Linked DNA regions of Danio rerio. The protein of the gene in region 1 purifies or fractionates together with the protein of each later gene. This does not show direct contact. Links are inferred from orthologs where the notes say so. Each region holds a gene or a part of one and is shown on either strand. Other genes may lie near its edges.

Evidence for each region.
Region 2: the proteins of zc3h18 (region 1) and rbbp6 purify together in Homo sapiens (affinity purification with mass spectrometry; 3 studies listed by BioGRID and IntAct, counting the BioPlex papers as one, with this or other methods). This does not show direct contact. The link is inferred for Danio rerio from reciprocal best matches to the Homo sapiens genes ZC3H18 and RBBP6.

Annotation. Positions count from the first base shown.
Region 1 is NC_133193.1:18,511,723-18,517,068, forward strand, and holds part of zc3h18 (zinc finger CCCH domain-containing protein 18), read right to left. Parts: intron 3,619-5,346; coding exon 3,332-3,618; intron 1-3,331.
Region 2 is NC_133178.1:34,269,963-34,275,308, reverse strand, and holds part of rbbp6 (E3 ubiquitin-protein ligase RBBP6), read right to left. Parts: intron 3,910-5,346; coding exon 3,871-3,909; intron 2,800-3,870; coding exon 2,711-2,799; intron 2,631-2,710; coding exon 2,534-2,630; intron 2,383-2,533; coding exon 2,240-2,382; intron 2,130-2,239; coding exon 1,957-2,129; intron 1,878-1,956; coding exon 1,774-1,877; intron 1,669-1,773; coding exon 1,313-1,668; intron 1,205-1,312; coding exon 1,129-1,204; intron 918-1,128; coding exon 857-917; intron 785-856; coding exon 730-784; intron 649-729; coding exon 274-648; intron 137-273; coding exon 17-136; intron 1-16. UniProt on the Homo sapiens protein: E3 ubiquitin-protein ligase which promotes ubiquitination of YBX1, leading to its degradation by the proteasome.

The DNA of each region.
Region 1 (5,346 bases):
AAACATTTTGGGTGAATTCGCCCTTTAATAGTACACAATTTAGTCTCTTTTACCTCCAAACTGACTTGGAACAAAACTTTGCCTTTTCGTTTCTCAGCAATTTTTTTATATGCACATGCAGGGCCCTTTAGTGTCATATTTATCCATGACAGGCTTAAAACTGCTGAGGTACTAGCATAAACAAGCAATAAGCAAAACATTGTTTCAATAGCTACTATTGTTAAAAAGCATATCCATATTTAACCCGTATGTATAACCCAATACATATTTATTTAGTCAATACTGCAAACTACCCAAGCTGTCTTAATTACTACATTCACAAGAAATGGGATAAGAGTCATTTGAGACACAACAAGGTTCTATGAAGTCAAATCAATTAGGTGTGAATTTCTCTCTACTCAGACTGGTAAATGACACCATACCAGTATCTTGGAAAAGGCTTACAAAAAGATCATTGACCCCCCTTGAGGTGTTCTGGAAAAACAAGATGGAATATTGCCCATGTTTTGTGGAATCTTGGCTTCATTAATGAAATGTGAATCTCTTTCTATCTAGGAAAAAAAAAGAGCTGACCTGTCATGACCAACAATGGTGTAGCCATGAGATACAAACAACCTGGAAATTTCCCATAAAGTGACCATAATCTAAACATGCAATCTGAGTCTGTGGTTATGCAAGTGCAGCACATTGATAAAGAAGTTAGTGTGTGAGGGGAAACACGAAAAGACTATTGTGATAATGTCAGGAAAGACCATAGCGCTGGAAGATTCAGAGTCCATGAACTTCCAAACAGCTTGCTGTATACAGTGAAAGTAACAACAGTCTTTAGCTCCTCAATTTGTAATGAACTCTCAGTTCCACAAATGCAGATACTCGCAATTAGCACATCAAAACTGTAGCTTATTTCTGCACTTCTCACTTCTAAATAAAAGAACCAATATGGTGTTCATGCAAATCCAAAACCACAGCTTGTGTCAACTTAAAATCTGACAGACCAGCATAAAACAAAACAGATACTCGAATGAATTCAAAATGCCAAAGGATTTTGTAGTCAAATTATGAATCCATTAAAAAATAAGTATCAACTAGGGGTGTGAATCTACACTGGTCTCATGGTTTGGTTATGATGATCATGCCATCAATTTAGTTCAATTCGATATATTGGTGCATCACGGTGCATTGACGATGCTTTCCATCCACAGTTTTATATTTTACTTAGCAATACATGAATTCTTGTACAAAACATTTATAATTTATGAATAAATTTATATTTATATATTATTTATAATACAATTTTGTCCTTTAATACAAGCAGTCAGATATATGAACTGCACCTTTAATTTTTATCTGCTCAAAGAAAACACTCTTCTTAAATGCATCAAGCAAAACTCAAGAACATGCACAAAAAAACACGAGCAGTTATAGCAAATATACTAATGTAAATAATATCCCGCTTGCTTTTTGAGCGTTGTTGAGCGAGTTCTTAAACGCCTGTGATTAATTACGCATTCAACAGAAAGGGCTGCTTTTGGCTCTTGCGCTTTTTAGCAAACAGTGACAGACACAGATGTTAAACGGCCTCAGCGATCAGCTGATCCCCTATAAACAGCAAAGCAGAGGAGAAAGCCCGATCTGCAGACACGCTCGTATCTGGATCCACAAGTATAGTTATTCAGACCCCCTAGTTTTTCTTGATTCCACAATTGCTGAATCCTCATCCTGCAAAATTCCTAATTTGAATGCAAAATAAAACTCGCAAAAATACATATATAATCTCATAAAACATTCATATAATCAAATTATATTTATTTCAGTTTGCAATTAATTGTTTTACAAGACTTACAGACAATGCATACGCAGCACACGTGATGTATTAGAGTATCTCTCATTACATGGGAGTGGGGGAGAAATTATTTTGCAGCCTGTGCAGTGAGCAGATGTGGATGAAGCGCGAGTGATTTACATGTGAAGTCACTGCAAAGATTGGATTAGACATCCTGTGGCACAAATTGTGCTTTTTTTGCATTTGATGCACTTCAGACTAGAGGTCTGCATTCGACCAGAGCATGATCATGCAGATCATGCGGGACCCGACCAGATTTCTGCGGCGCGGGAATTTATTTCCAAATAACTCGCGGGAGCGAGATGATGTCAAATGCTCTAGGGAGTGAAATCTGAGAGAAACTAAGATTGTGGCTAAAATAAGAGTTATACAACCTTCCTTTGGCTTAATCCTTACTGTTTTAGATCTGATCTTGTCTGAGACCAAAATAAAAAAAAGCTTTTTTTTTATAATTTGTGTCATTGTGTAAGATTGCACACCTAACACAGCAGGCTGCCTAATATGGTAAATTATATATATATATATATATATATATATATATATATATATATATATATATATATATATATATATATATATATATAGTCATATTTAATTGCAATAAATATAATAAATAAATAAATAAAATGAAAAATAAATCACAAGAAAAAATTTGTGTAAAACTCGGAAGTCTGGTTAATGTTGTAACAGCCAAAAAAGGAGATAAAACATTATCTCATGATCATGCCAGCAGGTCAAAGCGGCCACAGAGAGTGAGTGAAAAAGAGTTTACAGCTTTTATTTATTCCTAGCTGGGTTCTGATGTACTTCTCTGATGTACTCATAAGCAATGAATTGTGTACGGTTACTGAACCGATACCAAATTGTTTGCGTCTGCATTGAAGAAACAATTAATTAACTCTAAATATTATCTACCTATGAACTTAACCCAAAAAAGCTATTACTGTAAAAAAAAATGTAATGACAAAAAGTCAAAACAAATATTTTTATGTTGCTTTAACTTATCTTAATAAGTTAATCAAATCAAACAAAACTTTTTAAAGTTAAACCAAGTTTCTTGTAGGATACAGATGTTAATTTTTGATGCGATTAATTGAGTAAGAAAGAAAATAAATGCTTGATGGTGAAAGACTTCCAATTTTTGTTTCTTTTGCATTTTTATTACAAGACAAAGTAATATAATAAGAAAAATTCATAAATAAGAAAACAAATGATAAATAGCATAACTTAGTTGTAATAAAAAAAATGCAAGATAAATGCAAGTTGAGATGACAAAAAAGTTGAAGCATCAATAATTTTTTACAGTGTTGTAATCCTCCTTTTCAGATTCAAAAATTGCGCACAAGTAAGCTACATAGCAAATTATACTATACAAACTGGTATAAATCTGCACAGATTTTTTTGCTTTTTAATGTGCAACGAGCATTAGACACTATGACTCCTTTGTTAGTATCCCAATTGAGAGTATTGTGAATTTTTTTAACTCACCTTGGTGGCATGTTTGTGGGCGATCGTGGTTTGAGCGTCTTCTCCTTCTCGTCTTTTTTCTCTCTTGGCTCTCGAAGAGGTCTTTCTCTCGGCCTTCCCTCCTTTTCGTCTCGTTTCAGACGATCCCTGTCCCATTCATCCTTCCTACGTCGGCTGTCCTTCTCCCGTTCCCGTTCTCTCTCCCTCTCTCGCTCTCTCTGTCTGCGCTCCCGTTCACGGTGGTCTCTCTCACGCTCCCGCTCCCTCTCACGGTGCCGCTCACGTGGATCTCGTTCCCGCTCTCGGTCCTGATAAAAACAAAAAAATCTCTATGTTTAGCATTTGAAATGAACACTAGATTCTGATCAAAATACAGCAACTTAAATGTCATTATTTTTGTCAATTAAATACATGTCACTATTATGTAATATAACTTTGGACATCAAAACCTTTGCTCTTAAGTATCAGCTAATATGTAATATATAAACCAAACTGATTCATCTAGTTTGATCCGCAAGTCTCCAGAAAAGACATGATCAGGGATGTAATGACTCAGGGGAATGGGTTGAAAATTGATGCAAGTGTGTGACAATTCCAATCAGTTGGGATTTTAAGTGAATAGATTCATGATAAATGTTTTATGTAACAGCTAACAGTTGTGTGTACTGCCCACTTGATTAACCGTAAAGCTGCTTTGAAACAATTATTGTAAAAAGCACTATATAAATAAACTTGAGTTTAATTGACTTAACGTGTACTAGTGGCAAACAAGAGCAACGATCTCCACCGGTTTTTACCAGTTCAAATTTGTACGTTTAAATGGATGACAGTAAACATGACAAGTAGTGAAGAGAACAAAGCTGACAACAGGTATGTTTCCATCCAATAATGCGAATGAACTTTATGTGTAAAACTAGACTATCTCATAAAAGCCGCGCAAACAAAGCAGCGTTTCCATCCAACTAGTCAAAGCCTACAAAAATTAACTGGCACCAAACACCAACAGTAAAAACTAAATTTGCTGCAGTGGGAGAAGCTGCGTCAATCTTTTCATCTAATAGATGACTTGGCGCCTCAGAACACAATCCTGACACTCAGTAAATGCGCGGTGGCATTTGAAGGTGTCAGACACGAAGCACAGAAGCTCTTGATTCTGGAGGTCATTAACAATATAATAACACTAATACTGAGATGGTTGAGGCATTAAAATGCAAAGAAATAAACAGTAATTTAAGCCTTGCTACATTTGTAATTCCATAAACACATAACCACAATTTATATCATTATAAAGATAATCGTGTTCATATAAACACTATAAATAAAGACTTTTCCCTCAATCCCCGGGTCTGAATGCAGACTCAGTGCAGCAGGTCTCTTGCCCTGTCTAATTTAACCATTAGCCCAGCTGATAATCTAGAGGATTTAGGCAAACACAGCAGCACATTGATGTGTCTAAATGTGAATGGACTCCTGATAAAAGATAAAGTCCACCATTCTCCAATTCTCGTACTGCTCTCCTGACAAAAATGCTTGCAGCACACACAGCTTTGCTGTATAGTCCCTGACAGGGTCGCGGGGAAAAAACATGCAAAAAAAACCTGTGGATCAAGGAAACAAACACATACGACCCTTCATGAACAGCTAAATACTGTGTGCCGTGGGTCCATGGACGCGTCTTACCCAGTCATCAACGTAGGATCTCACAGCTTGGCACTGGCAGGTCTGCCTTGCCTTCGGAAAGCACATGCTCTCATAAATAATTAAGAAGCTGGCTCTTCTTATAGCATAAGAAAACTAGGAATAGTCATGAGAAACCAATTTTGATCCTGCCCCAAAAATCATTTTAAACCCGGAAGCTGAAATTAGCTGACAAAAGCTCAAAAAATTATCCAGTTTTCCCCACAATTAAAGCTAACAGATGCTAACATTGTCCTACCTGATGCTCAATACACACAAATTTGTTCAAATCTCAAAAAAAGTACTCAAGGGTTTTGTGAACCTTAAAGAAATTAATACATAATTTTTGATAGAGTTTG
Region 2 (5,346 bases), on another chromosome or scaffold:
TCAATTTAATTTTTACCTCGAGTAGGATCGCCTTCTCTCCTTCTGGATTTTTCTATACTCCAAAAGCTCTTTGGCAAAGTCATTGGTGAACTCCTCAAGTTTGGACTTCTCCCTGGTAACGAATCGACATTGGGAACTATTTATCAAAGACAGGAAGGAAATAAAACTTTGCAGTTAAACCTTGGAAATACATTACAACAGAAATGACAATAAGCACGGGCAAAGAAGAATAATACTCTACAGACAATACTTAAAAACCCAATAACTACTTACTCCTCCTTCAATCGACGCTGCTGACGATAAAACTCCTCCTTGGATAGAAAAGGTGCAGCTGGCATAGCAGAGATAGGGTTGGCTATAGGTGGCTGAGGGCCAGGAGGCACCCATGGAGCAGTCACATTAGGTGGAACAGGAGGAAATACAGGAGGAGGAATGTTGAAGGAAGGAGGTGGTGGCTGCTGTCCTTGAGGAAATTGTATGGGATATTGCTGAGAAACAACAACAGGTGGCTGTGGCATAGGATGTGGAGGAGGTGGAAAAAGAGCAGGGGGCACAAATACTGGAGGGACTACAGGAGGAAGATTTTGCACTGGTTGAGGCTGTATTCTTGGTGGCCTCTCACTCTGAAGTCTACCTCTACTCGTGGACCTGGTAGGATAAATAAAAGTCAGGATTTTTCACATTTGTTGTTTAAAACTAAAATGTATTAGATTACACTTTGATACTTACGGATCCCATCCAGAACGACTTCCAGATGGCCTTTGACCACTACTCCTTTGGGGTCCTAAAAAAAATGTACAAATTAAATATTGTCTACAGACAATAAATATCAGAAGACTTGCTGTTATCATCTTACCTGGTCTGTGCATGTGCTGCTGAGGCAAACTCGGTTTTCCAATTACAGGGACATGATATCCCTAGATAATACAAATAAAAGGAATCAATAAACTGTGCTTATAGAAGAGGGTCAACTGACATAGGTCATATTGTATCAGAAATATCAGGACATTTATTGTTTTACAACTGCAGTACTTATGTTCTCAACATCGTTTGTGGCTTTCAAAGTTAGTGTACTCCCCTCTGGCATTAGTAATTTTAAAAGCACATACTAAAAGGAGGAAAAAATACCTTTGGAACAGCAGAATTTGTAGACATAGATGTCTCAGATGAAGGTATAACAGCAGATGGTGGGGTCTCTGGTTCTCTGAAAAACACAGGGTAAAAATTCAATAACTGCACAAGCCAAAGGTAAAACCAGTCATTCACAAATTACACAACCAAGCGATCATCTGAAGTGCTATAAAATTCTTACTTGGATGGAGGAGGGTCATCCTGCCTAGTAGGGTGCGGAGGAGAGTTTACCACAGGACTATAGTTTGACCCTGCAGGTGCAGTGCTGCTGTGTACAGTAGAGCTGCTGGAAGAAGGTGGGGTGCTGGAAGGCTCGTGAGTGCTAACAGGAGATAAAGGGGCAGCAGGTGTGCTTTGTGGAGGGGTGCTATCAGCCGCTGAGCTTGGAACACTGGGTATCAGAGGATCCTGCTGGCGTCTCATAGGAGGACGTTGAGCAGGAGCTTGTTTTTGAGCTCCTTGAGCAACTGCTTGAGTAGCTGTAGCTTTTCGAATCCTCTTGGTATATCCAGTTTCATTCTTAAAGTTATTCACTGCCTTAAGTTGAAAAAAAAAAAGAATGATAAAGTCGTCTTAATGTTGCAATATTAGATAAAAACTAGAGACATGTGCTAACCAACAATTAAAACAAGGATATCTTACTTGGCGCAAGAATTTGTTTGCAATCAAGGCATCGGGGGATACATCTGATTGTTTGCAGGTTGGACAAACATGTTCTTCAGATTCCAGCAAACATGTTCGAATACCTGTGGTCACAATACAGTTTTAGCTTTCCAAGGTCAAAAACACTTTACCTTTTTGACATTTGTTGATATAGACACTTACAATCGTCACAGTAACTATTTCCACAGCAGGGAATAACCACAGCATCTGTCATAAGATCCTTGCAGATCAAGCACAGCAGCTCATCAGGTACTGGATCTTCTTCCTCTGAGGATGAGGACTGATTCTGGGGCAAGAATGGTGGCTTTTCTTTTTTGCCAATGGCATAGGCCTCACTATACATAGCAAGCAAAATATAATTAAAAACTACAAAGTAAACTACAAGTATACTACAAGTAAACAAGAAATTATCACAATCATTTACAGCAAGGCCAAGCATACTCACGCATCAATAGTAGGAATGGCATATATTCCACTGTTTGTCAACATGACACCTTTTCTGTTTGGATCATCAACCTCCACCATGAAACTCCGAGGTATTCCTGTGCTTTTCTTTATCCGTTGAGGAGCTTCAAAACTTCTATCCTGCTAAAGCATGATTGATACTCAAGATTAAATTTAATCTCCGATAAATTCTAATGGTATAAAAAAAAAAGACATAAGTCTGGAGCAACAGTTGGCACTGCCAAATTCAAAACAATTGCAAAGTTACAAGCTGTGGTAATGAAAACCCAATTACCCCATTTGTTGGGCAGTTTCGGATGTAATGTCCAGTTTTCCCACAACGAAAGCATGTATAGTTTGGTGGAGGCGGACCAACAAGCTTCTTTGCATAACTAACAAATAGAGATTAATGTTAGAATTGATTCTGAAACCAATTAAAAAAGCCTGTCAGTGTCTTGACATGCATACTTACTGGATTGGATCATAGTCATGGTTGGACTGAGACATCATTGCTTTTATTTTGTCTTCCTCTGATGCATTTGTTTCAGCAAGATTGGCTGTCTGTTTAACAGGCAATGTTTTCAAAAATAAAATAAATGTTGGAGTGTTCAACGGAGTAGACCAAATACATACAAAAACCTTGTCCTGTAAGAAGCAGCTTTATGCCTTTATAGAAGTGTGTTATTTAAAAGTACAAAAATGGCAATTGAGCACCACCTCAGACCATAAAAATGAGAAACAAAATGCATAAAAAAATTTTTTAACTACAGCAAGCCAGCAAAAAAAAAAAAAGCCATAATCAAGAGTTACCAAGTCTCATGCAAGACTCAACACTGGCTACTTTCATGAACTAAAAGTGGTTTAAGAGATGTTTTATGATGGTTCGGTTTTATTGATGAGTAGATCTCTTTTGAAGGTGCGAAATGAACAATATTTCACACTAAGTCATGACATAAACCACTACACAGCACCAAAAATATTCAGGGCATTGGTCTGAAATTCATATATGCAAATGCTGCAAAATCTTGGTAATTATTTTTTTTTTGTCATTGCATGAAGAATATAAAAAACAATGGTTAACATGTAAATATTTTCGGAGTGAAAAATGAAGAACATGACTTCCTAAGATTGCTCATTGAACAACAAGTGATGCAGGGCTCTCAAATGTGAAAAAAGAAAAAAAAGATTAAAAAAAGGATTTCAGGGTGCAACTTGACCACAATGTGGTCAAGAGGCTTATACAGTTCTCCAATACACACTGATATAAGGCAGTGTGCTTACTCTTTACAGGACCAGGCTTTTACACAGGTACCAAAAAAAAAAAAAAAAAAAAAAAAAAAAAAAAAAAAAAAAAAAAAAAAAAAAAAAAAAAAAAAAATCGCAACAATATACACACACATTTAAAATAAGTATTGAAATACTACAGAAATATAACTAATTTTAATTAAGTTGCTGAAAAACATAAAATTTCACATTACACAACAAATTTCACATAACACCATATAAACAAATGTGACAAAGTAAAAAAAAAAAAAAGTTTTGCACACTTTGCCAATATTGTGGCTTGCCCAATCTAAAACAATGACATAACACACAGCAGAGTGTATCAGGTAGTTACAAAGTTTAAAATACCTTTGAAAGCAGGGCCAGTGAAATGGATGAAGAATCAATCTGTCATTGGAAAAAACATTAAAACAAAGAGGGGTTCACCACTACGTCAAGGCACAACTTTATCATGCCCATCAGTGAGAAACTGGACAAATGTGTAAAGTTAAAATAATTTAAACACGTAAACAATTACTACCAAATTTTAAATGACACATGAAAGTGTTATTTTTTTTTTGTTATGTTGTTTTTTAATTAAGTCCTGATTTAATTTTAACATTACATGTTATGTTTAACTAGATCATAACCAGTTAATAAATATGAGTTAATTAGTTTTGAAAAAACAATAAGTATAGCTTCATAGTCATTAGGCTAATTACTTGTGACCAAGAAAGGAATTGATCAAAAAACCCTAAGGAAAGTGAACAGACTGGGCCTTAAAAAAGATTTGAAGGAATTAAACATTGAAGTTTTATTGCAAAGCCTTGCAGGTAAATCAAATAGAAAAGCAATTGAATCAGATATAAAAAGTAACTATAATACAACAGGCCATATAGAATATGAAATGTGCATTTAAAACTTCACTGGAATGAGATACTTTTTTCAAACTGTCCTACATAAAAGTTCCCCTTTGAAGGTCACTGCTTTTATAGGCAGTTTCAGTCTCAACATCACATATGTACATTGAAAAACTACAAGTTTGATCAAAGCAATAATAAACATAAAATAGTACAGCATAATAGAAGCTGTCACAGGAAAACTCAGAAGCTGTTTTGCATACAATCGGAAAAAACACATCAAAAATGTAAAACAGGTACAAACAGTGACATGATTCAAATATGAAAGATTTGTCTGGCATTAAAGTACAAAAAAAGTTTAAACAAATTCACATTTAAGCTCAATCGGTAATCAGAATGACAATGTCTGAAAGTTCATTAAATATGTTGCAAACTGTAAATATGTTGTACTCAAGTATCACTCATATTAAAAAGACAACCTCATGAATAATAATAAAAAAAAACAGTTTGAACCAAAATACGTCCTTTATCATACACTGGACTAAAATTTTACAAAAACTAATTTCACAAATTTTAAAATAACAAACCTGCCACGATTTTAATTAGCTCAAATAGATTCATATTAGATATAGGGAGAGGGGGTGTTCTCTCATCAAATATTATTTTATCTTATCTCTGTGGTAAAATGTTGTGTCAATGTCTAGTCAAATGTAAAAAGTTTTTAGTGTAAGCATAAAAATGTCTGTATCAGCCTTAACTACAGCGATGATTAGCACTTTCAAAAGGAAAATTAAATAAATGGGTTATATGCACAGACTTTTCATTTCAGCAAGCCAGCCAGCCCCAGCGCTTCTGGTGAACTATTCTTCCACTATAAAATTGCCACATTTAAGTTCTGATTTCTTCTTCTTAAAAAAAATCTGTGATCTTTACTGCCTGATAAATACAATATAAAGTAGGTCCTCAGACTAGACAAGAAACACTG